Oryzias latipes: one gene and its partners. The protein of the gene in region 2 purifies or fractionates together with the protein of the main gene of each other region. This does not show direct contact. Links are inferred from orthologs where the notes say so. Each region holds a gene or a part of one and is shown on either strand. Other genes may lie near its edges. The genes, in order: dcaf7, cct7, tubd1 and pdcl3.

What was found.
Region 1: the proteins of cct7 (region 2) and dcaf7 purify together in Homo sapiens (affinity purification with mass spectrometry; 4 studies listed by BioGRID and IntAct, counting the BioPlex papers as one, with this or other methods). This does not show direct contact. The link is inferred for Oryzias latipes from reciprocal best matches to the Homo sapiens genes CCT7 and DCAF7.
Region 3: the proteins of cct7 (region 2) and tubd1 purify together in Homo sapiens (co-immunoprecipitation; 3 studies listed by BioGRID and IntAct, counting the BioPlex papers as one, with this or other methods). This does not show direct contact. The link is inferred for Oryzias latipes from reciprocal best matches to the Homo sapiens genes CCT7 and TUBD1.
Region 4: the proteins of cct7 (region 2) and pdcl3 purify together in Homo sapiens (co-immunoprecipitation; 4 studies listed by BioGRID and IntAct, counting the BioPlex papers as one, with this or other methods). This does not show direct contact. The link is inferred for Oryzias latipes from reciprocal best matches to the Homo sapiens genes CCT7 and PDCL3.

The regions. Positions count from the first base shown.
Region 1 is NC_019866.2:4,064,892-4,072,106, forward strand, and holds the start of dcaf7 (DDB1- and CUL4-associated factor 7), read left to right. Parts: upstream 1-1,589; 5' UTR 1,590-1,837; coding exon 1,838-1,975; intron 1,976-2,234; coding exon 2,235-2,393; intron 2,394-4,840; coding exon 4,841-4,952; intron 4,953-5,035; coding exon 5,036-5,154; intron 5,155-5,233; coding exon 5,234-5,443; intron 5,444-5,672; coding exon 5,673-5,790; intron 5,791-6,031; coding exon 6,032-6,204; 3' UTR 6,205-7,215. UniProt on the Homo sapiens protein: Involved in craniofacial development. Acts upstream of the EDN1 pathway and is required for formation of the upper jaw equivalent, the palatoquadrate. The activity required for EDN1 pathway function differs between the first and second arches.
Region 2 is NC_019876.2:13,084,786-13,092,197, forward strand, and holds the start of cct7 (T-complex protein 1 subunit eta), read left to right. Parts: upstream 1-2,636; 5' UTR 2,637-2,711; coding exon 2,712-2,717; intron 2,718-2,718; exon of another isoform or gene 2,719-2,810; intron 2,811-4,081; coding exon 4,082-4,165; intron 4,166-4,246; coding exon 4,247-4,316; intron 4,317-4,404; coding exon 4,405-4,511; intron 4,512-4,589; coding exon 4,590-4,768; intron 4,769-4,843; coding exon 4,844-5,015; intron 5,016-5,099; coding exon 5,100-5,264; intron 5,265-5,837; coding exon 5,838-6,026; intron 6,027-7,130; coding exon 7,131-7,228; intron 7,229-7,412. Other genes in the region: tip elongation aberrant protein 1-like, read right to left, coding at 320-418, 847-1,084, 1,175-1,225, 1,306-1,387, 1,474-1,635, 1,880-1,941. UniProt on the Homo sapiens protein: Component of the chaperonin-containing T-complex (TRiC), a molecular chaperone complex that assists the folding of actin, tubulin and other proteins upon ATP hydrolysis.
Region 3 is NC_019871.2:24,830,296-24,837,572, forward strand, and holds the start of tubd1 (tubulin delta chain), read left to right. Parts: upstream 1-2,735; 5' UTR 2,736-2,822; coding exon 2,823-2,973; intron 2,974-3,047; coding exon 3,048-3,195; intron 3,196-3,292; coding exon 3,293-3,509; intron 3,510-3,592; coding exon 3,593-3,824; intron 3,825-7,277. Other genes in the region: ribosomal protein S6 kinase beta-1-like, read right to left, coding at 759-827. UniProt on the Homo sapiens protein: Acts as a positive regulator of hedgehog signaling and regulates ciliary function.
Region 4 is NC_019879.2:4,244,307-4,251,606, forward strand, and holds the start of pdcl3 (phosducin-like protein 3), read right to left. Parts: upstream 4,130-7,300; 5' UTR 3,864-4,129; coding exon 3,858-3,863; intron 3,414-3,857; coding exon 3,290-3,413; intron 3,107-3,289; coding exon 3,016-3,106; intron 2,554-3,015; coding exon 2,410-2,553; intron 285-2,409; coding exon 76-284; intron 1-75. UniProt on the Homo sapiens protein: Acts as a chaperone for the angiogenic VEGF receptor KDR/VEGFR2, increasing its abundance by inhibiting its ubiquitination and degradation.

The DNA of each region.
Region 1 (7,215 bases), on a different chromosome or scaffold from region 2:
TAACAAATACATTTAAAAAAAATTTTTTACCTTTACTTTGCTATCAATTAATAACATATCTAAGAATTAAGATTAATCCTAATAACTAAACCCATCCCCCAACTCTCACTCACTTTAATCTGTTAGCAAACGTAGCATTTGGCTAATGCTAGCTAAGGAAGCCTGACACACTGTCACGTTGAACTAAACCTGTGTTCTAGATCAATATAAAACTGCTATATATTTAGTGAGATTTGTAAACAGAGTGTAAACCAAAAATAATGAAGAAGCTGCCTACCTTGAGGATAAAGTATAGCAATGAACGCGAAGCTGGTTAGGAGAAAAGAACTTGAAACTGTCCTTGGAGTAAAGTTCCGTTTGAGACAGGAAACTGCCAGTGACATGACTTGCCTTTCAAAATAAAAGCAACGATGTAGAAAACTTTTTCCAGAAGTCTAGCATGTGTTCTCTTGCAGTGACAGATAACAAGACACACCAAGATTTCCTTTTTTTTTTTTTAAATCACCAACCAATAGAGTGTTTTTACTGCAAGATGAGTTGTCATTTGTATAAGAAAGTCTGGAGTGATAGAGAAGTATGTTTGAGTTGTTCAGGACATCCATTAGAGCTGGAAGACATAAGACGTGCTGTATGTGTGACAGAAGAGTTCAAGCTGGAGGTGAGACTGCACCATCAGCTTTGAGCTCCTTCTTGTTTGCTGTGATGATGGATGGACAAACTGGCAGATAAGGAACCTCTATAGATCGTGATGTTTGCAGTTGACATCACGATCTGAGCAGAGAGCAGGTGGAGGAACATCTAGGAGATTTGTTCTGGAATGCAGAGGAATGAAGATCAGCTGCAGCAAGACAAAGTTGCTGCATTTAAATGAGAGGAATTTAAGCGGAATGTTTCAGGGAGCAGAGGTGAAAAATTGAGGACTTTAATGGCCACTTGTTGTGGTAATTAAGCCATTCATTAACATACCATGGTTTATAAACTTTACATTAATTGAATTATAAATTGTCTAGGAATACTTTTGACAGCAACAAATACAAGTTCCTTTCAAAACCAGCTGACAGTGCCACACCGTCACAAGGAGGTTCGATATTTGGTGTGGTATACGATATTTTTTTGGACAGAAAAAGCAACTAAAAGGGCTCAATCAAATTGGAATAATCTTACTTCCGGTTCATGTGTCAAAATTAAACATAGAAACAAGACTGCACATTCGTTAGAAAGTAAACATTGACGCTGCATCGTATAATAAACATAAAATTCATTAGGATATGTAGACAAGATGTTACAAGAAAAACAATCTTGAAGCCTGTAAACTGTATTTACCCCCTTATGGTCACAACTGCAGACAGTAATCAAGATTGACGTAACTACATAATTTCGCTTCCGGTAGACACGTTAAAAATAAAACTATTTTGAAACACAGCCTGACAGTGAGAAATACATAGCAAAAAAATTACGTAAATTTTATTTTAATTATAATTAAATTCATAAAACACATGTTTAATTTAACAACATAAACTCAAACGTTCTCACTAAAAGTTTTAATGAGTGCTCTTTAAAAACTCTCTTTTATTTTGAAAGTGTAACCAGGAAGTTCTTCATACGTCGGTTAGATGGTTCGCCATCAAGATCGTAACAAGCAATGCTACTCTTTGTTAAGTGAAGTGCTGTAAAATCTTGTTTTAGAACAAGATTTACGTTTTTAACAGTCAACCGTGCTTCTTTTGATGCTTTTCTATTATAGGAAAACGAGCCGGTAAAAGTTCGTCGCGGCGTTTTCTTATTTGACAGTAAGCTAGGGCTAGCGTGTTAGCTGCTCAGACAACAGCTCGTGAGGATGTCGCTTCACGGCAAAAGAAAAGAAATCTACAAGTACGAGGCGCCATGGACGGTGTACGCAATGAACTGGAGCGTTCGTCCGGATAAACGCTTTCGGCTGGCCCTCGGGAGCTTTGTGGAAGAGTATAACAACAAGGTGCGTAGCTTGTTTTATGTTTTGTTTTTTGAGTCAGCTAACCCTTCACGAACAAACGCGCTTGAATCAGTGCTATGCTAGCTCTGTACATGTTTAGAGTGGTATTGCAAAATGTTATTGCGTTTATTATCTTCGTAATAACGTCTCCATCGATGCTTAATGGTACCCCTTTTTTAATTTAATTTAATTAATTAATTAATTTATTTTTTATTAGAACGAATCGCTTTTATTTTTTTCTTGTCATCATATCTCTACTCAGGTTCAGTTGGTGGGTCTGGAAGAGGAGAGCTCCGAGTTTGTCTGCAGGAACACGTTTGATCACCCTTACCCCACCACCAAGATCATGTGGATCCCGGACACCAAAGGGGTCTACCCAGACCTGCTGGCCACCAGTGGAGACTATTTGCGCATTTGGAGGGTAGGATGTCAAACCCCGGTCACCTGCTGCGTCTGTCATGTTTTTGTTTGGGTCATCTCTTTGTAACTCGAGTACTTTTCACTTTGGGATTTTTTTTTACATCGGTGTGTTTGAAGGAACTTATACTTGTCATGCTTTACATTGCCGCATCGCTGCTTTATGTGTTAAAACTCTTTTATATTAAAGGGGATTTTCAGACCTGTAAGCATAATGTTACAATTATCAAATGAAACTTTATTTATAGGGCATTTTTCATACAACAGTGAGTGCTTTATAGACTTGAAACAATCAAAAAAATAAATAAATTATAAAATAGATTATAGAACACATTTAAACATAAAATTACATAAATACAATTCAAAATAGAGACAAAAGTGAAAGAAGTGAGGAAATTTTATTTTGAAATGAGATAGAACTGTAAGTAAGTAAAAGTAAACTAAATGTCTGGAGCATTTTTTTTTAAATAAAAAGGTGTATGTTACCTCTTTATTTTCTTTTAAAAAGCACAGCATTTGTATATATTTTTTTTAAATTTCCCTGAACTATAGCTATAATGCTGAACCACTATGACAAAGGCTCCATGTATGTAATGAAACCTGTCGTTATACTTTTTTTCCTCCCATTTCTAACTTTTGTGATGCCTCACAGTTTCTTTTAAAAGTATCATTTGGCAGGTTACATATATGCCTGTTAATTGGCTTCTAACATCAGTTTAAGTATTTTTTAAAAACACACGCAATGCTGTTTATTAGGCCTGGGCGAAAAATCGATTGAATGAATTAATTCGAATTTTTTGTTACGGGCGATTTCAAAAATAACTGAATCGAGTTTTTGTGTAATGGCGCATTTTTGGCTCCCCGGAGCTTCCGTAGCGTTAGTTTCACACGGCAATGTGGCAAGCGACAAACAACAACATCATAGCACACACGAAACAGCAAGCGACAACATGGCTTACTGCCACCGACGTGGAGGAAGAGCCCCCCCCCCCACGCTGCAACATTTGCCTAAAGCCCATCGCAGTCAAAGGCAACAGCACCACAAACCTATTCCAACACCTGGGGGAAACCTTTTATTACAGTTCTCCTTCAATCCGTAACTCCAAACATGAACGCCCCCCCCCCCAGCACGCTGTCACTCACTCTCGCGCGGCACGCGCTCATTCCTCTTACACACGCACGCAGTGCGCTGACACGCACACTCATTCTCCAACACCTATATGGTTAGTTCATTAGTTACTTCGTAGTTAGTTTTTACTGTTATTTGTTAATAAAGAATACTGCGTTGCAATTATGAATTACATTTATTTGTGTATTCATTTGCGATGCCGGATGTTGTGTTAGGCGGGGGGGTTGACCGCGACTCCTGCTGCTTCGTCAGCGCGGTGATCAAAAATCCCACACCGTGACAGCTCTAGTTTATATCTTGTGGGACACAGAAAAAATGCGACTTTTCCAGTACGGATAGCAGAACCGTTGAGGTCAGATCTTGAAGAATGTTGCTCTGGGGCTCGTTCAATACGGGGGCTCAGTACCCATCCCTAGGGGCACGGTGGAGAACAATCACTGAAGCGGTCGCTTTGCATACAGCCAAAGACATGGTACCCATATATACTGTGGAGAAAACGGGCTTTATTAATTCAATTAAAACCTTAGACCCCAGATATGAGCTGTATTGTTAATCCTTTAGAAATGGTGCTACTCTCAAGGTGTAAGTCTGACTTAAAACACAGCTGGGACTTTGATTCCCGGAGTGTGTTCATTTATTTATTATTCATCCCAGAAATGGGGGTTACATTTGTCTTGCGTTTGATTAAATAAATCAAAATTTGCTTTAAGTTTTCTGCCGTTTGTACTTATTGCTTTCCTTAGGTAGGGGGGAAAATCGGAAAAAATCAGAAATCAATTAAAAACATTTTTTTAGACCATATCGCCCAGCCCCAGTGTTTATACATGCTTATACCATGGTCTGAAAGAATACTTAATTCTGATTGGCTGCTGGGTGTGGATATATCATTTTCCTTTGCCGCTCCAGTCGAGGTCACAAGACAATTTGCAGCACAACGTAAGAAATAGTCTGCTTTTTGTGAGAACAATTATTTAAACCCAAAAAATAGCAAGAATAAAGTACTAAAAACTGATTGAATATTTATTTCTTTTGTAAGTGACCATCGTAAAGGCGGGATAATTGCCTTTGAAGTGTGCATTTTTCAAAAATGAACGCACTTCACAGAAGCAACCAATTCAGGCTTCCACGGCGTGCGTTAATTTCTGAAAAATGCACTCTTGGAAGACCTTTAACCCTTACTTAATGAACTATTCAGCCTCCGATACTGATTTTGAGCATCAGCAAAGAAACATTTCCGACGGGATCTGCATCGTAAGGGATGGTGAGGGAATTTGCTGGAAGTCTTGTGGACTTTTGTGGATTTTTCTGCTTTTATTTCCCAGGTCAGCGACACGGAAACACGTCTGGAGTGTTTGCTAAATAACAACAAGAACTCAGACTTCTGTGCCCCTCTCACCTCCTTTGACTGGAACGAAGTTGATCCCAATCTTCTGGGTAAGAAAAGTATTTGATAAATGCAAGCCTAGTCGGGTTTGGGGCATTTGAGAAGTCATTAAAAAAAGTATTTTATCCGACAGGAACATCCAGCATCGACACCACCTGCACTATCTGGGGCCTGGAGACAGGTCAGGTGTTGGGACGAGTAAACCTGGTGTCTGGGCACGTGAAGACCCAGCTAATCGCTCACGACAAAGAGGTCTGTGCTTGTCTTGATTGTAAAATGGATTGGTATTTGTCTGTACAGAAGAGTTTTCAACCTCCTCCTGTCTCTGCAGGTGTATGACATCGCTTTCAGCCGTGCAGGAGGGGGCAGAGACATGTTTGCTTCCGTGGGGGCCGACGGATCCGTCCGCATGTTTGACCTGCGACATCTGGAGCACAGCACCATCATCTATGAAGACCCCCAGCACCACCCACTGCTTCGTCTCTGCTGGAACAAACAGGACCCCAACTACCTGGCCACGATGGCCATGGACGGCATGGAGGTGAATCATTTAGCATATAGTTTTGACATTGACAAATACAAATCTGGAATTTATGTCGCTAATTATCTCTTTTGGTGCAGAGGAATTTGTCATTTGCAGATTTTCCACCTCTTTTCGTCATTTTAACTTTTGTACAAAGTCCTGTTTAAACCAGTGTTTAATGATTCTTCCAGATAAAGTTTAGAACATTGTCAGAAATGGGCTTGTCCTCATGGTGTCTTTGCGGTAGGTGGTCATCCTGGATGTCCGTGTGCCGTGCACACCCGTGGCGCGGCTCAATAACCATCGCGCCTGTGTCAACGGCATCGCCTGGGCCCCTCATTCCTCCTGTCACATCTGCACTGCAGGTGAGTGGAAACCAAGGAAACCGTTTCCCCATACGGTCTTTTTTGATTTAACTTTCATAAAACTGGTTTGAAAAATGTTTCCAATTGTGAAAAACCAAAGTGGCTTTTTGCCAGAGTGCATTTGGAAAGATTTGCCATTTTACCGATTGAGGTTTTTTTTCAAATGTGGGTGGGAAAAGCTTTTGTTTCCGTCTGCTTTTCTTCTTGTTCCTGACTTAAAACATTTGCTGTATCTTTCCAGCCGACGATCATCAGGCTCTGATCTGGGATATCCAGCAGATGCCACGTGCCATCGAAGACCCCATCCTGGCCTATACCGCCGAAGGGGAGATCAACAACGTGCAGTGGGCTTCAACACAACCAGACTGGATCGCCATCTGCTACAACAACTGCCTGGAGATCCTGCGTGTCTAAAAGCCCGGAGAAGGACTTCTGCTTCACCTTTGGACTTTAGTTCTCATTCCCCTGCTTTCAGTCCCAGGACACGAACACAGTTTAGCTCTCTGAGAGTGTTTGGATGATCTAATACCTGCTCTGCAATAAATTGGTTTACATCAAATGTCCGTGCATCCGCTCCACCGCTTTTCAGAGAAACGTGTTTAAGCTCTTATTCGTTTTGGCCCGCAGCTGGAATCAGCGTCAGAGCTGTTGTCTCTAAAATTTAGGCGTCTTTTATACGCCGAGGCGATCATGAAGGGTTTAGATGTTGTACATTTCATCAGTTGAATTTGTCGAGGTCGATTCTAACACTGGTTTGTGGCAGAAGACGACCTCTGATGCGTAGGAGTATGTTGTAGCCTTTTTTTTTAGTGGATTGCATACCATAATCTTTTCAAACTAAGGTCCTGAATATTAGTCTTGTTTACCTGCCGATGGGTCATCTCTGCGCTCGGGGTTCAGACCCGTGCAGTTTTTTAAAGTTGCGAAGTAAGACGGGATGCATTCCTGTCTGTTATCTTGAATTGGATCCAGAGAAACTACCATGTACAGACAAACCTAAACATGTTCGTCTTTCTAATGACTTTGTGTGTGTAGAAACCTGCCTTTTTCTTTCCCGGTCAAGTGCGAGATGGAACTGAAGTTCTTGAATGCATTTCTGTCCACTGGCTTTTTGTTTAATACTTAAGGGGCCCTTGTAGCATGCCAATACAAGGTAAAATGTACATACATATAAATATATCAACAGCTGTTGGTAAGCCAAGTGTTCATGTTGTAGCTCTTTTTCATAAAGTTTATTATTGAATTTGCTCTAATAAATTGTATCCTTTCATGTCTCAGACAAACTTGGCTTGTTTTTCTTTGTTGTAGTCAAATTATGTTCTGCTTTTATTTTAGATTTTGTGGTTTTGAAATGGAACAGAAGTGAACCAGAGTTCTGTTTTTATATGTATATGCTTTCCATCAATAAAATATGAAGCTATTATT
Region 2 (7,412 bases):
CCTCTTCTTCAAAACTCCTCATCCAATCAGTGATGTCCCATAGCACCTACCTTTACTGATTTTTATTTTATTTTAACATTTTATTTTGCTTTATGAAAATTGCTTTTGTTTTTTACGCTTTGATTTCTGGAACTTTGTTGAAATTTCTAAAAATTAGGGGTTTTGGTTAATCGTTTACCTGTTTTTATTGTTGTTGTGATCTTTCATATGTTTTTATGATGAGTGATTTTTTTGTAGTGATTTGGACTTCAGGGCCACCGTAGATAGAACTCAGGCCTGAAAATCCAAATACAGGATATAAAGCTATGTGTAAGCATACCAGTCTGCGTGGGAGTCTTGGCCTGCCTGCTCTTGGTCCTGGCTGTGCCCTGTGGGGGCGTTCTTCCCACACCCCCACCCGCCTCATCTGCTCCATTATCTGTGGAACCAGACGTAAAGAAGAATGACTTCAAGCTGCTTCAGCCTCTGAGTAGCACTGCTTGTTAAAAAAAAAATGGAATGGCTTGGTTCAAGCACACTTTTGTCCTCAAACAACTGGTTGCCGTTAACGCCACCCTCTGTCAAATTAAAGACCCACTCTGAGGAAAATTGGGGTTTTGGGAATTTCTTGTGGCTTTTTTCTGATGATGAGGGACATTTAAAGAGAAAATGAAGATTAAAATTGCATTTCTGAGTATTTCTTTATTCAAATAGTTGTGAATTAGGAACAGAGGAAAAAAATAGTTTAATAAAGAGTACATTTGTGTAAGTTTGGCGAAAAAATGTCAATCATAATCAAAAGACCATTGAGAACGCTTTTAAAATAGATCCAAAAATAATCGGAATGGGACTTAAAAACTTGCTCACCTGCTCCATTCACGTTTGAGGCCCCTGCTCTGCTGCCAAACAGCCTCTTGCTGCTTTTGCCTTGACCTTTGACCTTCGCCACAGGTGTGGTCTTCTCCCGAGCCCCATTCGGACACGTATTCTCCTCCTCCTCCTCCTCCCCCGTCTTTGCCACCTTGCTGTCACCGTCGGCGTCCTCCGACGTTCGCTCCCTCTTCCTCTTGTTGAGCTCTCGGGGTGCGAGGGGAGCCGCCATGTCCTGGTGTGAGAGAAATGCATTATTTCTCCCTAAAACACACACAGTAACTTTTTTGAAACGGTAAATATTTAGGAGGACGTCGTGGGTTACCTTTGGGGTGTATTCCTTCACAGCCAGGATACGTTCTGGTTCTGCTTTTGACTGGGTGGAGTATATGGATTAAACTTGTCAGATGTTGCACAACAAATGTGAACTTCTTTCTATTAAGCTTCTGCATTTACCAGATCGCCTCCTTCTAAAGTAATAGTCAGAGTGACGCCGTTTGTCCATGTCTCTTCTTCCCACTGCTCCCATGACAAACATCTGCAGCAAATGTGTTTAGAGTGGCTTTAAAATACACTGCAGTCATTAATGATTTAAGAAATATATATATATTTTTAAAGTGTTACTTGTTATAAGGAGTGAGTTTTCCAATAGTGATGGGGAACCTGTCAGCATCATTGAGCTCTGCGTTGACGCAGATCCTCTCCCCCCACGGCCCGCTGCTGAACAGCACCACCTGGTGGACAGAGGCAGGAATAGCAACCGAAGCCCTGCAAGATCCATCGGCACTAAACAGAAAAAGAGGAGGAAAATAGGGAAAAAACGCGAATAAAGGTGAAGTGTTGTCCTAAGGTACATTTAATCACAAAATATCACACAATTTACAAGATATTAGACACGTATATTCCGTATTTCACTTTGAAGTGAGGGTATATATACATATATATATTTTTTTAACATTAACTTTATACTGAACATAGTTAAAGTGATGTCATTGTCGTAACACTAGTTTTTTTAGCGCCTTTCTCGTACCTTAGCAGCTTCTGAGGCGGACCATTAATTCCGAAAACACCAAAGACTCCGAACTCTTCCATCTGGTCGATCTTTTTCGAATTCAAAAACTGCTGCCAGTAAGCCCTCTTGCTGTTTCACACCAAATTCTTCGTCAAATAAAATGAAGGACGCTTCAACATTTGCCTGTATTTCTCCGTTTGCAATCTCTCCCGCCACCGCTCTGTGTAGAATTTCTGAACTCCGCGCGAGTTCTGGGTACGTTATTGCAAAGTGCTTGTTTTGTAACTTAGGGTGTTTTTGAAGGGGCGCAAATGATGTCCGATTGTGAAAACAAATAACTCCGCCCGTGTCTGACAAAGTAACGCAAATAACCAAACGCATCCTAGACGGTTGTGCTCAGGCTGAACGACCAATCAGAGGCCTTTGACATTTTCACGGAAGCTAAACAAAAAAAGTTGCGTTCAAAGCAACTTAACAGCGCGCGCTTTGAGAGACAAATTTAAAAAGTAAAGTTAGAACAACCAAATATTACGATTTTTATAAAATAAAGTATTCTAATAGAGATAAAACTCTGAAGTTTAAATTCATAGAGTTGAATTGGATGTTTAAAAACATTGAGATTTTTTGGGATACCACATTTTATGAACATTGATATTTATTCACATTTTCTTTTCGTTTAGTTATTATATTAATTTGTCACACATGTGTAACGAACACTAATATAGTAGAACGTTTTAAATAACCGTAAACAAAATATTTGTATTCTTGAATGCAGACCCAGCAGCATCAGCTCTCGAAAAGCATTGTGGGATTGGTTGCCGGTGAAAAGCTTCTCGAAAGAACCGCAAAGATGATGGTGAGTTTGTTAGCATCCATCTATTAATCATCATCCATCCTGGCTTGCATCCGTTACCATCGATGTTAGACATTTTCGGGACGTATCCGGCAGGTTGTCAGCTACGTTTTAACGCAGTTATTTTGTGGATATCGATTGTAAAAAAGATTTTATTTGTTGCTACACACTGTTAGCATCCGACAATCAATGGGCGTATGTTAGGCTAGGGAAGATGTCATCCAGCATGCTTCGTGTTCACTATTTACTAGATTAAAGTCACTTTCAGGGACTACAAAGAAACAAACGAGCAAATACTGTTAGTCTTGTTAAATCGCATTATTTAACAATATATTGTTATTGTTTTTGACATAATGATATGCTAGCTATCATATTAGCTTTTTGTAATACTGTCTCTTTGCCGCAGTGGTTGTAGTTCATGTCTGTTTGTATTGCCATCTGACGAGACTGATAATGCATTAAAATATATTTTATGACACTTAAATACCTGTTGCAGCATTACCAATGATATTCAATTTTGTCATCCGTTTTTTAATTATCACACTATATAGCTTAAAACTCAAACTGCAGCCTTAAGGATTTATCTTAAGTCACTTTTACTTGAAGAAAAATGTTTTAGGAACAGAAGAACCTCTTGTGAGAATTTGGTGGCTTTGTAATAAAATAAAGCGTAAATGGCTGTTAGTATTTTGTTTGATTACCCACGTGCCTCTGGGGTGTTTGGTTTTAAAGACTCACTCCGTTGAAAAGTGTTTTTGGTGTTTGTAACATGTTCTCATGGATTTTTTTCTGACTAGGAAAGAGATATGTTAAGGAAATTTAGCTTAAAATCACATTTATTTCTTTATTTTTTATTCAAATCATTGTGAATCAGGAGTAGACGAAAATAGTTAGTGGGCGGGGCACAAGCTCGCTGCTCCGCTACATTCTGATGCATCCGCTTGTAGACAAATAATGGATCCATGAACGTCTTTGTTTTCCTCGTCTGAGCTGACATTTGGCTCAAATCCGTACGACTGGATAGCTCCAATATTGGTCGCCATTTTTATGTTGGACTGGTAATGTTAGGTTGGGGTGTAAGATGGAAGGAGAGCATGTAAACAGAGAGCTGTCAGTAACAGGGAGGGCTTGCTCTGCGTCAACAGTCCTGCCCAAAACCTTTAGGTGAATTTATTAAAGAAAAAGAAAAAAGCAGGAAAACTAATGCAGCTCTGCAAAAACGATGTCCTGGAAAACAACCCTGGTTTTTTACATTTTGGCTTCATTAAAAGACCCCTGAGATTGCTTGTAGAATAGATCAAAAGATAATGGGGCTTTAAATATTTGCCATTTTAACATTGGTGTTGTGGTTATCCCGTGTCCTGCAGCCCACACCGGTTATCCTGCTGAAGGAGGGGACAGATTCGTCTCAGGGCATTCCCCAGCTCGTCAGTAACATCAATGCCTGCCAGGTAAGGGGGAACATCTACTAGCGAATTTACTACATAGACTGTGGAGCCTTTCAGACCTGCTGATTGCTGTTTCCTGCCCAGGTTATTGCTGAGGCTGTCAGAACCACTCTGGGGCCCAGGGGGATGGACAAACTGATGGTGGATGCCAGAGGTAAGGAGGGATGGGATTTGGAGAAGTTTAAACATGACAGAAAATGTTGTTTTGTTTGTTTTTTTGTTAACATGTTTGCATTCTCCAGGAAAGGCCACGATTTCCAACGATGGCGCTACCATCCTGAAGCTGCTGGATGTGGTTCACCCTGCTGCTAAAACCCTGGTGGACATCGCTCGTTCGCAGGATGCTGAGGTGAGTAGAAGTGGTATTCTGAAGCAGCTTTAAAATTGAAATTGACTTTTAAATGAAGGCGCCTCTCTACATATACAGGTTGGAGACGGCACCACGTCCGTCACCCTCCTGGCCGCCGAGTTCCTGAGGCAGCTGAAGCCGTTCGTGGAGGAGAGTCTCCACCCTCAGACCATCATCCGCGCTTTCCGCACTGCCACCAACCTCGCTGTCAGCAAGATCAAAGAGATCGCCGTCTCTGTGAAGAAAGACGACAAACAGTGAGCTGCCGATGGTTTTTGCGCAGCTGAGACTCAGTCCATCGTGTTTGCTGATGTTTACCTCCATCCTGTCAGAGAGCAGAGGCAGCTGTTGGAGAAATGTGCAGCGACCGCCCTGAACTCCAAACTGATCGCTGGGCAGAAGGAGTTCTTCTCTAAGATGGTGGTGGATGCGGTCATGTCTCTGGACGAGCTTCTGTCTCTGAAAATGATTGGCATCAAGAAGGTCCAGGGAGGAGCGCTGGAGGTGGGTGTTCTTTCTCGTCTCTGAGCGTTTGGTTTCTAGCTGGCTGCTTTTTTGACTCCCTTGTGATCATTTGTTTGCCCGCAGGATTCCCAGTTGGTCTCTGGCGTTGCTTTCAAGAAGACGTTCTCCTACGCTGGCTTTGAGATGCAGCCCAAACGCTACGATAACCCGAAGATCGCTTTGCTCAACGTGGAGCTGGAGCTGAAAGCAGAGAAGGACAACGCTGAAGTTCGTGTCAAGTCTGTGGAGGTATGAGGCTGCTACAGCAAATCCTCTTTAAGCTGTGTTCATACATGTGACATGTGTTCAAGAACTCGCTCAATTTAGCTCATGATGTTCACACTGGACAACCAGGAAGGGGCTTTTTTCTTCTTTTACTGTTTACTCGCGCATCTCCACCACCTACAGTTGGGAGAGGCTCTGTGTGAAATGTTGAAGTGGTGCAAATCTCATGAATCTTCTTCCAGGCTTTTTATTTCTCAGCTCTATTGCAATATATGAAAGACTTGGTGTCACATAATTTGGACCAGGCACAAATCACAATTATCGATTTTCTCGGCACTTCCTTAAATTAAAAGGGATGCCGTCCATACGTCTCTACCAAATCCTGATCGGTTGAAGTTTGATGGGGTTTATCTTTCAACATGCCCATAAAAAGTTTTAAAAACTTGTGTAGCAACGTTTGAACGTGAGTTTTAAATGAAAGCCTGAAATGTGCGTTTACGTTGATCTCTATTTGGAAGTGGTGGCTTGAACGCCCATTGCTGAGAGCAATTTCCTTTCCTGCTTGGTGAAGAAACATTTCGTCCACTTCTTCTGCAGGAATATCAAGCCATCGTGGATGCAGAGTGGAACATTCTGTACGACAAACTAGAGAAGATCTATCAGTCTGGAGCCAAGGTTGTTCTGTCAAAGTTGCCCATCGGCGACGTGGCCACCCAGTACTTTGCAGACAGAGACCTGTTCTGTGCTGGCAGGGTGCAGGAGGAGGACCTGAAGAGGACGATGATGGTGAGACAAAAACAATGTTTTCTGAGGTGTTTTGACGGCAAGACTCTGCTTTATTGAATCAAAAAAGAACCTGAAATCTCGTTTTAGGTTTTTTTGCTATAATGTTCTTTTGCCCTCCCAGGTTTTTGATGTGGAATACTGTTGGGATTATTTGAAGGCCCACTCCGATGAAAACTGTGTTTTTAAAATGTTCTTGAGGCATTTTTCTCATGATAGAGGACATGTAGAAAGAAAATTAAGCTTAAAACTGCATTACTGAGTATTTCTTTCTTCAAACAAATCGGGAGCAGACGAGACAAGTGCAGTTTGATAAAGGTGACGTAGAAAATACGCTGAGCGGGCCACTTCCTGCTCTGCTCCATTCAGATGCATCCACTTGTAGATAGATCCATGTACATCTTCATTTTCCTTGTCTGAGCTGGCATCTGGATCAAAACTATATGGCTGGATAGCTCCAATACTGGTCGCCCTTTTTTTGCAACAGTAATGTGAGGTTGGGGTTATGAGGGGCTGTAAGCTACCGGGAAAGCACGTAAACAGGGAGCTCTCAGTTATGGGTGACGGGAAAGGAGGCGGGTTACTCTGCACCAACAGTCCTGCTCACACCTCAGAGGTGAATTTCTTGTGAACTACTGCCTGCCGCTCTGCAGAAACTGTTTTAGAAACCACACAGGTTTTTGTCTTTTGGGCTAAAAACGGCATAATCTTAACTGAAAGACCATTAAGAACAATCTTACAATAGATCAAAAGATGCTAAATGGTAAATGGCGTATACTAATATAGCGCTTTTCTTCCTACAAGCACATAGCGCTTTACAGTCACAGACCCATTCACCCAGTCACACACACATTCACACACTGGTGGCGGCTCCGCTGCCAAACATAGGCGCCTGCCTACCACCAGTGGCAAGGTGGGGTTCAGTGTCTTGCCCAAGGACACTTTGACTCATGGGCATGCAAGGCGGGAATCGAACCTGCAGTCTTACGATCATGGGTCGACCGCCCTACCGCTGCACCACGGCCGCCCCAAAAGATGATCTGAGTGGGTTTTTAAAGACGGTCAGACAGCAAACACGCTTTGATCTGTGTTGTCATGTGATGTTAGGCTTGTGGCGGCTCCATCCAGACGTCTGTGGGAGCGCTAACAGAGGATGTGCTGGGACTTTGTGAAGTATTTGAAGAGGTTCAGGTGGGAGGAGAAAGGTGAGAAAAATGAGTTGACTTCAGATCCATCTGTGCATTTTGTTCTTCAAATACCTTTTTTAAAAAAATTCTATATGCAAATGGGTAGATTTTGTGAACTGCAAATGACTGCATTTTTATGCTTTCAAAGTAGATTTGGCAGATGTTGCATTTAAGGTTGGGCGATGTCCCTTAAATTGGCAGT
Region 3 (7,277 bases), on a different chromosome or scaffold from region 2:
AGACAGGCACCGCAGAATAAATCATGAGTTATAATAAAATGAGGTCTGTCAATATTTCTTCTTTTTAAGGATGAAAAATAATTAGATGTGGAGTTTAAACTACAATAAATAAAAGGCACTTAAGTTTGGTCACATTTAAATAAAAATATTCAGAAACATAAAATGCATGCATTTTGTTTTTTATGCACAAACCAGCAGATAACGTGTCAAATAAACTGCTGAAGTAATCCAGGAACTGCCCGCATTGAGCAGCTTCTGTTTACTGTAATTACAGCTCTATGCAGCATCATAGCGGTGCTCAGGTGTTTGTCCTGCACTCATTCAACCCGGTGTTGCCCCTTTAAATGTTTCAGTGGGAGCAGAAGTAAAAAGGGCAGCGAGCTCCCAGCTCACGTTGTCAGAGCTGGCCAAGACAAACTGCACGTCTGTCTCCCTGCACCACATTTGCCCAACAAAGCCTGGTTTACTTTGCACAACCCCAGAAACTTGGGTCACGTGAATTTTAAGACAAGGGACAGCAGCACGCGCTCGCGGCAACTGAAAACAAACAGAAATGAGGCACGCGGAAGTCCTGTCGAGTAGGCATGTTAGCCTCCGCGCTGCTGCTCCGAAGCAGCAGAGGATGGATAGCTCCGGCTGCAGGAGCAGGCCTGCGGTGAGTGCAGGCAGGCTACCAAGCTAACAGCTAGCTTAGCTACCGTGTTTCTGCTGTGACAGCTTTTGCAGATATACGTCCAACTGTCTATTTAAAAAAATACCTCCTCGTTTTCATCATCGGAGACGTTTTCCTCTGGTTGGTCCAAATCTATGTCAAACACTCCAGCCATGACATCCAGTTGCTGGGGTTGTTCTAGTCACAAACTCCAAGAACAGCGAGCGGCGCCCACCTCATGGACAAACACACACGGCCGCCATAACCGGCTACTACAACGAGCATGCGCACTGTGCTACTCTGGAAAAGGGGCGGTGACATTTTCCTACTACAGTCAGAAAATGCTTACATTTACTACACTATTTTTTAAATAAAACATTTTTCACGACTGCGCCACCTTAGAAATATCTGATTTCATAGGCCAAGCCCGGTTTGGACCTGTTTAGTTACGGAATTGGAGGCTTTTCAAGGACAACAAAATGCAGTATGTCACTGCAACTGCAGGGGGCACTAACCAGTGCTTCATGTGCCCGTCCAAAGTCCGGATAAATGCAGAAGGTTGGGTCAGTAACATTGACTGTAAACAACAATTGACAGCTCAACCTCTCCCTTCTCGCGTTCCCAAAAAGAAAGTGCCATTGCTTCCTGATACGGGCGCCGCCATGCTATCTATTTTTAATGTGTTCTTGATAATTCTGTTTTTTGTTTTTTTTTTTTGGGGGGGGGGGTATTTTTTCTTTATTGCAAGTTATTCATGTTATAAACTGACCAATCAGATGGCTCAATAAAATCACGTGGTGCCCCCACATCTAACACTCAAATCAAGTGTTTGACATATTCTTCTTATAGCCCGTTTTCAACGGTAAGGGTGTGGACTTCCAACAACCCCTCCCCTGAAACCCACCCACTCCAACCAGCTTGCACACACCTCTTCATCTTTTTCCAATTCTCTCTGATTCTCTGGACTATTGACCTTTAGGTCCTCCACCTTCATCCACTCTGCTCCCTATAACCTCACAATCCCACTTGAATTCCACTCATTTAGACTCAGATAGTTTCTTACTGCAGCTGACCTTCAGTCTTCTCCTTTAGTCATCTCCTTTCCCAAGCAAACTTTCATCTTTTACAATGTGCCTCCATCTGCTCTCTGATCTTATTATAAATTACAATGTCATCTGCCATCATTGTGGTCCACAGATATTCCTGTCTAATCTCACCTGTCGGTCTGTCCATCACCACAGCAAACAAGAAGGACCTCAAAGCTGACCCTTGGTGTTGTCCCACCACCACCTTGAACTCATCTGTCACACCTACAGCACCTTAGAGTTCACAGGGATGTCTGGCACAACTCCAATGTCCTTCTCTGCCATTCCAGAGTTTCTCAAACAAACAGCTCCGCTCTCCATACTTTGTTCTGACCTTCTCTGTTCTTCTCCAGCAGCTTCCTCAAAGCTAATAATGGAGATTGCATCTTTAATTCAAGTTTTGTTCCACATCATGCCTTCCCTGACAGCCTTGGGAATGGTGCATGAGAGCTCTGGGTTGTACTACCATGTGGTTGCAGAAAGGACTTCTGCCATAAAACTGACAGGATGAATTCTCAAAAATGGAAAAAGCATTAGGCCTAAAAATAAAAACGACACGATTGGTTGGGCAAAGAAAAACAACTAAAAGTCAAGCTAGTTTGAATTTTAGTTATTAAAAACACACACACAACTTAATAATATAATCAATTCAGTAAACTATGATGCCCACTGGGTAAACAAGATGTATTGTTTATTTTTAACTTGTGAAAGGTTTTATCTTCATTCTTTAAATTCTGCCTTGTTTCTGAAAACCTTTTTTTTTGGTAAAAGTATGTTTTTTAATTAAGAATGTCAGTGAAATAAATTGGGTATTCAAATTAATGCTCCTTACTCTTTTCACACAGCGCTCCAAGTCCTCCAACCAATACATTTCCACTGCTGTTCCCTATAAAAACGCATTTGTGTAAGAAGGCATATGTCGTCGTTATATTTTGAAAATATTTCGTTCAAAGAAGTCTTATTTTGAAAAAACTTAACAGGAAGCGATTGTTCACAACACTTTGTGGCGGCAGCGCATGCGCTTTTCAAAATCGTAAAGGAAGTATTTGTTTACTGTAGCGCGAGTGCAGCGGCGTTCTGCTGCCATGTCCGTAGTGACCGTCCAGCTCGGTCAGTGTGGGAACCAAGTGGGTCAGGAGCTGTTTGACGTCCTTTGCAGCGATGCGTTGGCAGCACACAGGAAAACGTACAGCACGGCCAGCTGTGAGAGGTTCTTCCATCTAACATCACATGGAGGTAATGATGCCGGCTACAAACCTGCTGGGGGTTTTCTGAGCAGACCCTTTATTTTATTTTATTTTCTACATTAGACTTAGAAGCCAGGGCGGTGCTGATTGATATGGAGCCCAAAGCGATTAACTCCAGCATGACCAAGGCTCTGAAAGGTGGCAGGTGGAGGTATGGAGAAGCTTCCCACTTTAGTCAAAAGCAGGGATCTGGAAACAACTGGGCTAATGGGTAAGGATGGGTCCAGAACTAGAATCAACTACGCTGAGATTGTAGTCCAGAGAAAGGTAAGTGATTATCTAGTTTTGTGTTTCATGCCTCCGTCTAGGTTTTGCGTCCATGGTCCTCGTCACAAAGACGCAGTGGAGGAGCTGGTGAGGCGGGAGGTGGAGCGCTGTGACAGACTGGCAGGTCTCATGACCATGATGAGTGTGGCAGGTGGAACCGGCTCAGGTGTTGGCACCTACATCACTCAGTGTCTCAGAGACATCTACCCAGCATCGTTTATCCTCAACCACCTCACATGGCCGTACGGGACAGGGGAGGTACAAATCTGTATTATGTAGTCGTCATGACGCAGAAATGTGCTTTTTCTGGTGACATTTCTGTCTCCAACTTTTTCTTTCAGGTGATCCTTCAAAATTACAACTCGGTGCTGACGCTGGCTCATCTCTACCAGCTGTCCGACGCCATCGTGGTGCACGAGAACGACACGGTCCACGGGATCTGCAGTCGGCTGCTCAACATCAAACCCATCGCCTTCACTGACATCAACAGAGTTATTGCTCATCAGCTGGGTGGAGTCCTGCAGCCGGCCTTAACCCCTGACTCAAATGGAGTCTACAGCCTGAATCCTCTTGGTGAGTGAGGTGCAAACCGTGGACAAAGTCGTTCCACTGTAATCGTAAGAAAACCCCACAGTGGCTGCTAAATAATTTAAAAGCTTTGATTCCATGCTCCGGGTGAATACTCGATTCTGATTGGCTGCTGGGTGTGCATTAAAACCTGATAACCGCACAGTAAAAAAAGAAGGTCCGGTCACCTAGCTTAAATTTTTCGTATCACATTTTTTAAACAAACCTTTGCTTCATCATTTGGACAAAAACAAGCGGTCAGAGGTGAACTTTCTCTCTGAACTGATGCTTTATTCAACCAATCAGAAAGATCAGCATATATACATCGCCGAATCTTGACTGCAGCGGTGATGCAGCGTCACGCGGACTGTTATCTGTTACGCACATCGCTTTTTGTGAGGAAAGCGATCCAAATCGGAAAAAAAAACAAGAATTAAGGACTAAAAACTGGTTAATATGTATTGCTTTTGTAAGTGACCATAGTATAAGCAGGTTAATGGCCTTCGAAGTCTGCGTTATTACTTTTTAACGCACTTCGCAGAAGCAGGTTCAGGCTTCCACGGCGTGCGTTAAAAGTAATAACGCACACTTCGTCGGCCATTAACCCTTACATAATAAATAAAGATCTACAACTCGTAGGAAAGTCAGACATCACTTTTGAATCATTGCTTAACAGAATCCGCTAAAGCAACTGGATAAAAATGACAAGTCATAAAACTTTTGAGGCAATTTCTGTCTCCGATTTGAATGCAGTCTTCTCCAGACAGCATGGAGACGACTGCTCCATCACAGATGATCAACGTGATTTAGATCAGAGATCATCTAGAACAATGCAATATTTTGTTTGTGGACATTCTAGGATCATTTTTGCTTTTGGATTGGTATTGTTGTAGTGTTCATGAGACCATGCTGTCAGATAGCAGATTGTCCTATCAATGAAAGTTAGTAGTTGGGAGATACAGGGCCTTGCAAAAGTATTCGTCACTCTTGAACTTTTCAACCTTTTGCCACATTCCAGGCTGCAAGCATAAAGATATAAAACTATAATTTGTTGTGAAGAATCTACAACTGGGACACAATCATGAAGTGGAACGAAATTTATTGGACATTTCAAACTTTTTTAACAACTAAAAAACTGAAATATTGGGCGTGTGATTTTATTCAGCCCCCTTAAGTTAATACTTTGTAGTGGCACCTTTCAGTTTTGCACATCGAGAGACTGAAACTTTTGCTCATTCCTCCCCGCAAAACAGCTGGAGCTCAGTGAGGTTGGATGGAGAGCGTTTGTGAACAGCAGTTTTCAGTTCTTTCCACAGATTGTTGATTTGATTCAGGTCTGGACTTTGACTAGGCCATTCTAACACCTGGATGTGTTTGTGAACATTGTAGATTCTGCTTTATGTTTTTGGATCATTGTCTTGTTGGAAGACAAATCTCAGTCCCAGTCTCAGGTCTTTTGCAGACTCCATCAGGTTTTCTTCCAGAATGGTCCTGTATTTGGCTCCATCCATCTTCCCATCAATTCTAAACATCCTCCCTGTTTGCGCTGAAGAAAACCATGATGCTGCCACCACCATGTTTGACAGTGGGGATGGTGTGTTCAGGGAGATGAGCTGTGTTGCTTTTATGCCGAACATAACGTTTTGTATTGTTGCCAAAAAGTTCAGTTTTGGTTTCATCTAGGGCTGCACGATATGAGGAAAACTCGCGATATGCGATATTGGTAATTAATATTGCGATAAAGATATAAATTGCGTTATATAAACAAATAGCAAAAAAAACAAAAACATCATTTCCATTTCACTGCATTTCCAAATGACCCTTGTCGACGTAGGAGGCAAACATCAAACATAAAAGGGCTCATCTGATTGATCAAAAACGTAAACGGGTCCTTCTGATTGGTTAAATGCACAAAGGGATTTATTTCATTTGTTCAATATTTCAAGCTGCCATGAGTTTGTTTTAGCACATTTAAGGTAATCATTTATTGCGATTTTTGCGGTATGCATATTGCACAGCTTGATTTCGCGAGAACGATAAATTTGCGGTATATTGTGCAGGCCTAGTTTCATCTGACCAGAGCAACTTCTTCCACATGTTTGGTGTGTCTCCCAGGTGGCTTGTGGCAAACTTTAAACAACACTTTTTATGAATATCTTTAAGAAAGTGCTTTCTTCTTGCCACTCTTCCAAAAAGGCCAGATTTGTGCAGCATACGACTGCTTGTTGTCCTCTGGACAGACTCTCCCACCTCAGCTGTAGATTTCTGCAGTCCATCCAGAGTGATCATGGGCTTCTTGGCTGCAGGTCTGATCAGTCTTCTTGTTTGAGCTGACAGTTGAAACGGACGGGCGGGTCTTTGTAGATTTGCAGTGGTCTGATACTCCTTCCATTTCAGTATTGTTGCTTGCACAGTGCTAATTGGGATGTTTAAAGCTTGGGAGATCTTTTTCTATCCAAATCCGGCTTTAAACTTCAATCACAACAGAATCTCGGACCTGCCTAGTGTGTTCCTTGTTCTTCGTGATGCTCTCTGCGCTTTAAACAGACCTCTGAGACAATCACAGAGCAGGTGCATTTATACGGAGACTTGATTACATACAGGTGGATTCTATTTATCATCATTAGTCATTTAGGTCAACAGTGGATCATTCAGAGATCCTCACTGAACATCTGGAGAGAGTTTGCTGCACTGAAGGTAAAGGGGCTGAATAGAATTGCACGCCCAATATTTCAGTTTTTTTATTTGTTAAAAATATTTGAAATATCCACTAAATTTCATTCCACTTCATGATTGTGTCCCACTTGTTGTTGATTCTTCACAACAAATTATAGTTTTATATCTTTATGTTTGCAGCCTGAAATGTGGCAAAAGGTGGAAAAGTTCAAGGGGGCCGAATACTTTTGCAAGGCCCTGTATGCTGGTAGGCAGGAGGAGATGGCAAAATGTCCCGATTACACCACTTATGAGTACATGTACTGTATGTTGGTTGTACTTGTCTATTATGCTTATTTGATACCATCTGACACAGAGAACCCTGAAACTGCTCCTCCCGAGTCCAGCTTATAATGAAAGTTTTGGGAAGAAGTAAGAACAGGGAAAACAGCAAAATACATTTACTTAAACTCCCGTCTCGTGAGTTTAAATTTGAGAGCAGCTGTTTAAGATAAGTATTAAAAAATCTGTTGAATGCTGGTTAAATTTGACGACAAGAAATTCTCCAGAAATGACTGAACATCAATTCTAAAACAAAAACTTTCTGACAGTGAAACGAAACACAAAAAAAGTGCTTTTAACTGGTCTGATCAAAGTATTTGTCCTTGAGCAAACATGTAAAAGGTAATATGGATTAATTTGTAATATTTTGTTGTAATACAGAGATACTGTATTACCCACTGTGATTATGCAGTTCTTACCCAAAATCCCAAAATCGGTGTCGTTTTAAAGACGTAGTTTCTC
Region 4 (7,300 bases), on a different chromosome or scaffold from region 2:
CACAAACAATATTCTGAGAAATATTTGGAAATAACCATTGATGAGAGCTGTGGCAGTGTTTTAGCTACTGCTTACCTTCCACTTTGAGGTTCATGCCTCCAAACACCAGAGGACCGATGAACTGCGCCTTCATCTCCCCTTCAAAGTAGACGAATATAGTGGGCAGGTTGCGGTCGGGGTAGTTTGGGATGCAAGTGGTGGAGATGGACTTGAGGAACTTTGTCTGGGGAAATTTTCGGGCCAGCATGTTCAGGTGCTGATTGATGAGGGTGCAGAGGGGGATGCTGGGGGAGAAAAAAAAAGAAGAAAAGGTTGCTTTAATGTTGAACACAATTTTAAAAAAAAGGAAAAAAATGCTGTTTAGATGCAGAATTTTATTCATAATTGGATAAAAAGATCAACGTCTAATATCACTTTACTGTCAATATAATGATTCCCAAAAACAACAACGATGCAAAATTGAAAAGATGTTTGAGCATTTAGTTTCTAAAACAGTTTTAACACATAATGGGTGGTAAAAAAGAGGGTTATTATTATTTAAAGACTTATGTTAGCTGGAGCTTTGAAGATTTTTTTCCAAATGTTGCAGCCATCTGTGAGGTTTAGGTAGAGTTTGGATGCGAAGCAGGAACATCATTGAAGGCTCGCACTAAAATACTGTATTTTTACGACTACGGGGCGCCTTACTTAAAAGTCGTAAATTTTCTCCGAAATGTATGGAGCGCCCTTTGGTAAAGAGGACGGAGAAGAGGACAGCATGAGAACAGTAAGGAGGGCAGTGAGGACGTGAAAGAAGACCCCCCCCCCCCGAATAGTACAAAAATGCATGTGCAAAAGGCATGTGCATTAAGCAGAACAGCATCGTTTTGGTAACCCTGAAAATGCAAAGAGATACACTCATATCAGTTTAAACAGCAAGCTGTCACACTTTTACTAAGACTGGGAGGAAGCGCTGGGCGAGTTACACCACAATTTGTGAATGGATTGTAGATGCTTGGGCTAACGAGTGTTGAGGGATGAGTGTGGGTGTTTGTGGAGCGCATACAGCGCGGTCAGTCAACGTTTTGGAGTTGAGAAAAGAAATAAAGAATGTTCCTCTGAAAGAACTGAGACTGGCAACTGAGACGGACTCTGACGATGACAGACGGGAAGCTGGCGTGTTTGATAGAAATGTAGCCCAGCTGTTCATTTAGGATACAGAAGATGAGGACTTTGATGGATTTTTGGATGCTGATTGAGGACGGAAAAAATGTAAAAATAAATCACAACCAACTCAGTTTTGCTCCAGCTGCCTTTTTAAAAACACACACTAGCATGGATGTTTTACCAGTATGTTTGAACGTCCTCGCGGCGTGCGATTTGTAGGTGTTAAATACAGAAAAATCACCCAAAACTGAAACTGCACCCCAGTGCGCCCTATGGTCATGAAAATACGATGTCCTACAAAGAACTTTTAAATACAACTTTCAAGCCATCGGATATGGTGAAGGTAATCCTGCTAAACTAGTAGCATAACAGATTATGTCTTTGGTTTTGAAAGTCTCTCGTCTTTCATTAGAAGCTGAAAAGTCTTATAGAAAAATCAAACTGTTAAAAATGAGCAAACATCTAAAGCAGGCGTCGGGAACCTATGGCTCGCGAGCCATATATGGCTCTTTTGATGGTACTGCGTTTGTTGCGGTCTACAGTAACCAGAATAAAGAACCTTAAAAGAGGTTAAGTCTCCGTGCCTCCGTGTGGGAAAGGGACACTACATTATTGTATGGCTCTTTCGAAATTACATTTAAAAATATGTGGCGTTTATGGCTATCTCAGCCAAAAAGGTTCCCGACCCCTGATCTAAATTTTAAGCAAACCTTCAAAATCTCTTCTATAAAAAACAAAAAGTAAATTTTGACTGAAAAGAGGAAATCACCAAAGTAATTTTACTAGGCAGACAGTGATTACTGCATTTAGACGTTTTACAAACTGGTATTTAACAAGGAAGTACTTTAAGTGTTTTAAATCCAATACTAAAGTTGAAAAAGGAATTTTAAAAAATAGTTTAAAAAAAAAGAAAAAATACATTTTAAAAAGATCCAGTGGCAAATATTCTGAAATTATAATTGGATTTTTTTTTTAAAAGTATTTTTCCAACAGCTTCCAACAATCTAATTTCCCAAATCAAATCTAGCAAAATTCATGTAAGCACTCCTGCTTCTTTCTATAGTAAAATTTTGCTTTTTATATCACAAAAGACCAGTTTTTCATTGTTGGCACGTTTTTGTATGCCCGTGTATTTAATCTCAATCGTCCTTAGTCTTTTCCCAGCATGCATGCGTCTGTATGTGCTTTCATGAGACCCCCCTCACCCACAGAAATGCCCAGGGGTTTGTTGGTTTTGTTCCCCTGTTGCTTTTGCTGGCTTACCCCTGTTTGTAGAGGTGCAGCACCACCCAGATGCCGTCTCCAGCCTTGTTGACCTCTTTGACATAATCCTGTCCAGAGATTTCCCCCAGTTCCCCGAACACGTTCTTTAACTGAGTTGCTTTCCATTCTGCAAGACGCTTCTGTCTGGAAGGAGAGACGGCTTCCATCAGTTCACTTACAGACGGTGGGTCCCAAAGCGCAAACAGCTTCACCCCAAAGGCTCACATGGCCGACCCTTTGAGACGGCAGAATTTCCCCAGAGAAGGGTTTTAGTTCAAAAACATTTCAGCAAGTTAACAATTCAAATCACTCAGAGTTCACACAATGAGTGCAAAAGAGACTCTGATCGATGGGAAATTTGTAAAAGGGTTAATCAAATGTAAAAACAACAAAAAGATAGCTTCAAATAAAAGAGTAGAAATAGATATGCAACTATACCAACCCCAACCACGAAACAAAGGAATGCTTTTGACCCACTGATATGATCTGGACCATAAATCCCAGTCTATGAGGTGCTGCAATTATTAGCTCTGTGTCAGTCTGAAAGTTTGGTGAAGGCTGCGTGATTCCTGAGACTAACCTGAGATCCGCTCCACCTCTGCTTACCTGTACATCTCAATGGCAGCCTCATCATCCTCACCAAACTCATCTTCATTTTCCTCCAGTTCGTCTAGTGTCATGTTTTCATATGTTTTGACTAGTCAAAGACAAAAAAAATAAAATTAAAAGGGACAACAATTTTCTGCTGATTATGTTTTGGGAATTATATGATTTTTGTTGGTTGAAAATGTTAGAGAAACATGAATTTTAAGGACTAGGGTGGTAGTTTCGAAGCATTCTGTTAGATCCAACTATCCTAATTCTAATTTATCTGTCTTACCAACAGACTGTTGCTGCTGCTGGACAGCCAAAGTGTCCTCTTCTTCATCTTTAGGAACCTCTTTGGGGGGAAGAATTCCTTTTTTCCTCAAGATATCATTCCACTCGGTGTCTTCATTTGGATCCTGGAAAAACAAAATGTGTATATATATGACATAATCACATAGTTTCATACGCCTCTGCTATACGGATTAAACAATCTTTAGAATAAACAGGATATGACATCAAGAAGAGAGTTAAGAAAACTGGACCTTTGCTGCTAATATTAACACACACACACGAATCTTAAACTCTTATGGAGGCACCTTTACAAAATGTATTATTTGTACTTCGAACTAAATTAAACAACTTTATTAGTATAATGTTGGGGTTCAAATTCAGAGGGGAAAAAGGGGAAATAAAAATTATTCAGGAAGATGAGGACACAAAACGTGTAATACGCCCGTCTCCATTCAAACCCCTCCTCAATGTGTTCACAAATAATTAACCCCACTGGTATATTTTAGTTTCGCGGCTTCGCTCAGAGACGTACACCAAAGTATTACAGTAAATAAAATAGTTTTACCAACCTGCATTTTTTTCAGAGAAAATCAAACCACGGCTGTTCTCCCAAAAACGGAAGCAGAAGGAAAGCAGTGACGGCGATTCCGGCAGAAACAACAACCTAACATTTCTAAGGAGACTAAAGATAACCATAAGATAAATTCAGCTCGTATGTCATATTTTCATTAAAATGTTTTATTTCTTTTTTATTACTATTTCCCCCCAGAAAAAAAAACTTTTAAACATATTTAAAAAAGCTAGGAACTAATCCATCGCAGGTACGACAATAATAAATGTGACAACAACTTCCTGTGGACTCGATATGACCATTTAAGGAAGGGGAGCGGAGCATTTCGTTTGACTCAGAACAGGTGCTGCAAAAACGCACGCATGCGCACAGAGTCGTGTTAACTAACTGAACGTCTAAATGTTGTCAGCATAATTATTTTACAAAGCAAATAAAAACAACTTTGTCCTCTACTATTTCATATATTTCTGTTACTATATATATACATGCAATTTTATTTATTGAAAAAGTAAATTGTAAATTTATGAACGCATGTAAAATCTTCATCAAGTTAAAAATGTTGTTGCACTGGTCCATGTTAAAAAGTTGAGTTCTGTTCCAAAATGTGATTGTGTTTGTTAAATTTCTGGGAATGGTTCTGGGAATAATAACCTGGGTAGCGTGCTTTAAAACGGACAATATCTGTCAAAAAAAAAAAAAAAAAAACAGTTGAAGAACGGTTTAAGAACGAGATACCAATTGTGATGTGGATCAAGTTATCCAGATCACAACGAAAGGGTTTTCCTGCATGTGATGTACATTGATGACAGCACTACATAATTCAAAGAGAAGAATTTCTATTCAAACATTTTTGAAAACCTTCAGTGAAGAGGAAAAGTTTAACACACCGTGTTGATACCGTTAGTCAGCTGAACAAACAACATCAGTCAGTGTTAAATGTGAAAACGTGGTTTGTAAAGTAACATATTCGCTGTTCTCCTCAGATTTAAAGAGATTTTAGTGAGTTTTAGCAGATTGCACTCAGTTTCCGGAAGCTAAACCATCCACATGAGACCTCGCATGTGACCACAATGAACAAAGACTTTAGAACCGTTTGGCTGAACCATGGACATGTACAAACTTGTCCTTAGTTTGCTAAGATGAAATCACAGGTCACTGAACTCATGAAGGTGGTTCAGGAGCTTGAAAAACCGGAAATGGCCCACCTCTTTGAACTGAAGACAGCTTTTGGACCATATTGCACACGACGTCATCCTTATTTTTTATTTTTATTTTTTTTATTTCCAGCATCGTTAAGTCCTGTGATGCTTTCTTTAAAGAAAATACGCGAGGAAAAAAAATTGAATAGTATGACAATTTTTTGAGTTATTTGTTGAATTGCATGTTTGTGCTGCTCTGTTTCAAAAATTCTCTGAGTTGCTTCTCCCATAGTTGTAGTGAGAAGCCTTAACAATCATAACATTTCCTAAAACTCTTTCCTGCCCACCTCCCCAAATGACACAAATATAAAGTTGTTTAAACCTCAGAAGACTAAATATAATACCATGTTTATTCAGTAAATCAACTAATATTGTAGACAAGAGAAAAGGAAACAAACCGATCTGCTTGTTTTGCATGTTGCAATCAAACAAGTCTTTGTTCTCGCACATCACGTTTCTAACCAGAAACTAAATTCAGAATGACTGAGCAGGCTAGGCTAAATAAAGAACCAGAGTTCATGAATGTAGAAAAGATTTGTGCCATGAGATGAGATGTTACTGTTGCCATGGCAACAGGAGAAAACTTATCTTTGAAAGACTTACAACAACTTACAACATTTCCTCTGAAGGTATAAACCAGTGTTTTTCAACCTTTTTTGAGCCACGGCACACTTTAACCTTGACAAAAATCCCGCGGCACACCAGCCCCCCCCCCCCCCCCAAAAAAGCAGAAACTCATAGTCTGTTTTGATCTACAGCCCCCCCCCCCCGGCAATCTGACGTGCATTTTTGTGATAAAGTTGCAGATGTTTTTTCTAAAAGATGTAATAAAAGTTAAGTTACATACAAACTGTATGTTCGTTGTGGTTTCAATCCGTGTAACAAGGACGACTCATTGTACGCTGAGGCGCTGTCCCTTTAAGCCAATGCATCATGGGAGATGTAGTGTGAATACGGCGAGAAAACGGCAGAAAGACTCGCGTCTCTGAGCTTCATGGTTTTGTTCACTTGTTCCACGGTCTGATACCGGATTCTGTGGAAAGCTACACCGCTAAAGCTTTAGCTGGTGTTTTTGTTGGAAATGAGTGAGTTATGAGCTAAATTGGAACAAGGAAGTTTAGACTTTAAACACTTCTGATTGGTCAGACTGATGACATGTGATTAAGCCTTCAAGAATGATTGGTGGAGTCGTGGAGACAGTAAAAGCTGCGGGACTTTTCAGAAAACAGTTATAGCTGCAGCTTAATCGCGGTGCCGTCATTCTTATCAAAATGTCTTTAATAGAATCAGTTAAACACAAAGAAATAAGTATTTTATGATCTTTCATATTCCTAACTACTCAGTGTTTTATCAGGACCTGTTTGGATGAACAAAGAGCTGATTTCCTGGAGATGGTTAATGTTTTTAGATCAGTTAATGAGGGCAATTTTCCACGGCACACTTGACCATCTCCCACGGCACACTAGTGTGCCGCGGCACACTGGTTGAAAAACACTGGTATAAACCACAAGAAACAAAGCAGATGCCTCTTGAGCTTGCATGAGGTTGCTTTTCTTTTCCCGACATCTGGAGTCATTCAAAGACATACAACTCTCAGATATGATGATGGACATGTGGCCAGACTGTGGTGGTTCAGACGTGTCCAGAGGAGAGACAGTGGCTGTAGGTATTGATGGAAGGATGCTGAGTCTAGAGCTGCCAGGCTACTGGTCTGGAGGAAGACCAAAGAGGAGCTTTATGGATGCAGTGAAGGAAGACATGAAGGTGTTAGAGGAGAGGATGCAGACGATGGGGTTAGATGAAGGATGCTGATCCCTCTGAAGGGAAAAGCCGAAACGAAAAGATGAATATTAAAGTTACTTTTTTCAATTTGATTGTCGTTTTGGTTACAGCTGTGGGATCGCCACGGCAAATCGCACCATGATTCAGAAACCTGACTTGGCTTCAGTTCTGCCCTTACTTAGCCAACTCTCTGAACTGACCTGGACTTGGGACAAGGACAAAAAACATTATAAATTATAGTAACAGAGCACTTGGTGGTTCCATTGTAAGAGAACAAACCAAGTCCTACTTTTCTAAGCTTCCTTGATGGTGCATGTCCAGGACGGCATGGCCATATTAATGTTTTTTCATTGAGCCTTTGTAAAAAAATGCAATAAATATTTTTAAATGAAATTATTTTGTGTAAAACAATTTATGTCCCACGGGTAATATAAAAGGAATGAGGCTGCAACAATTTAAG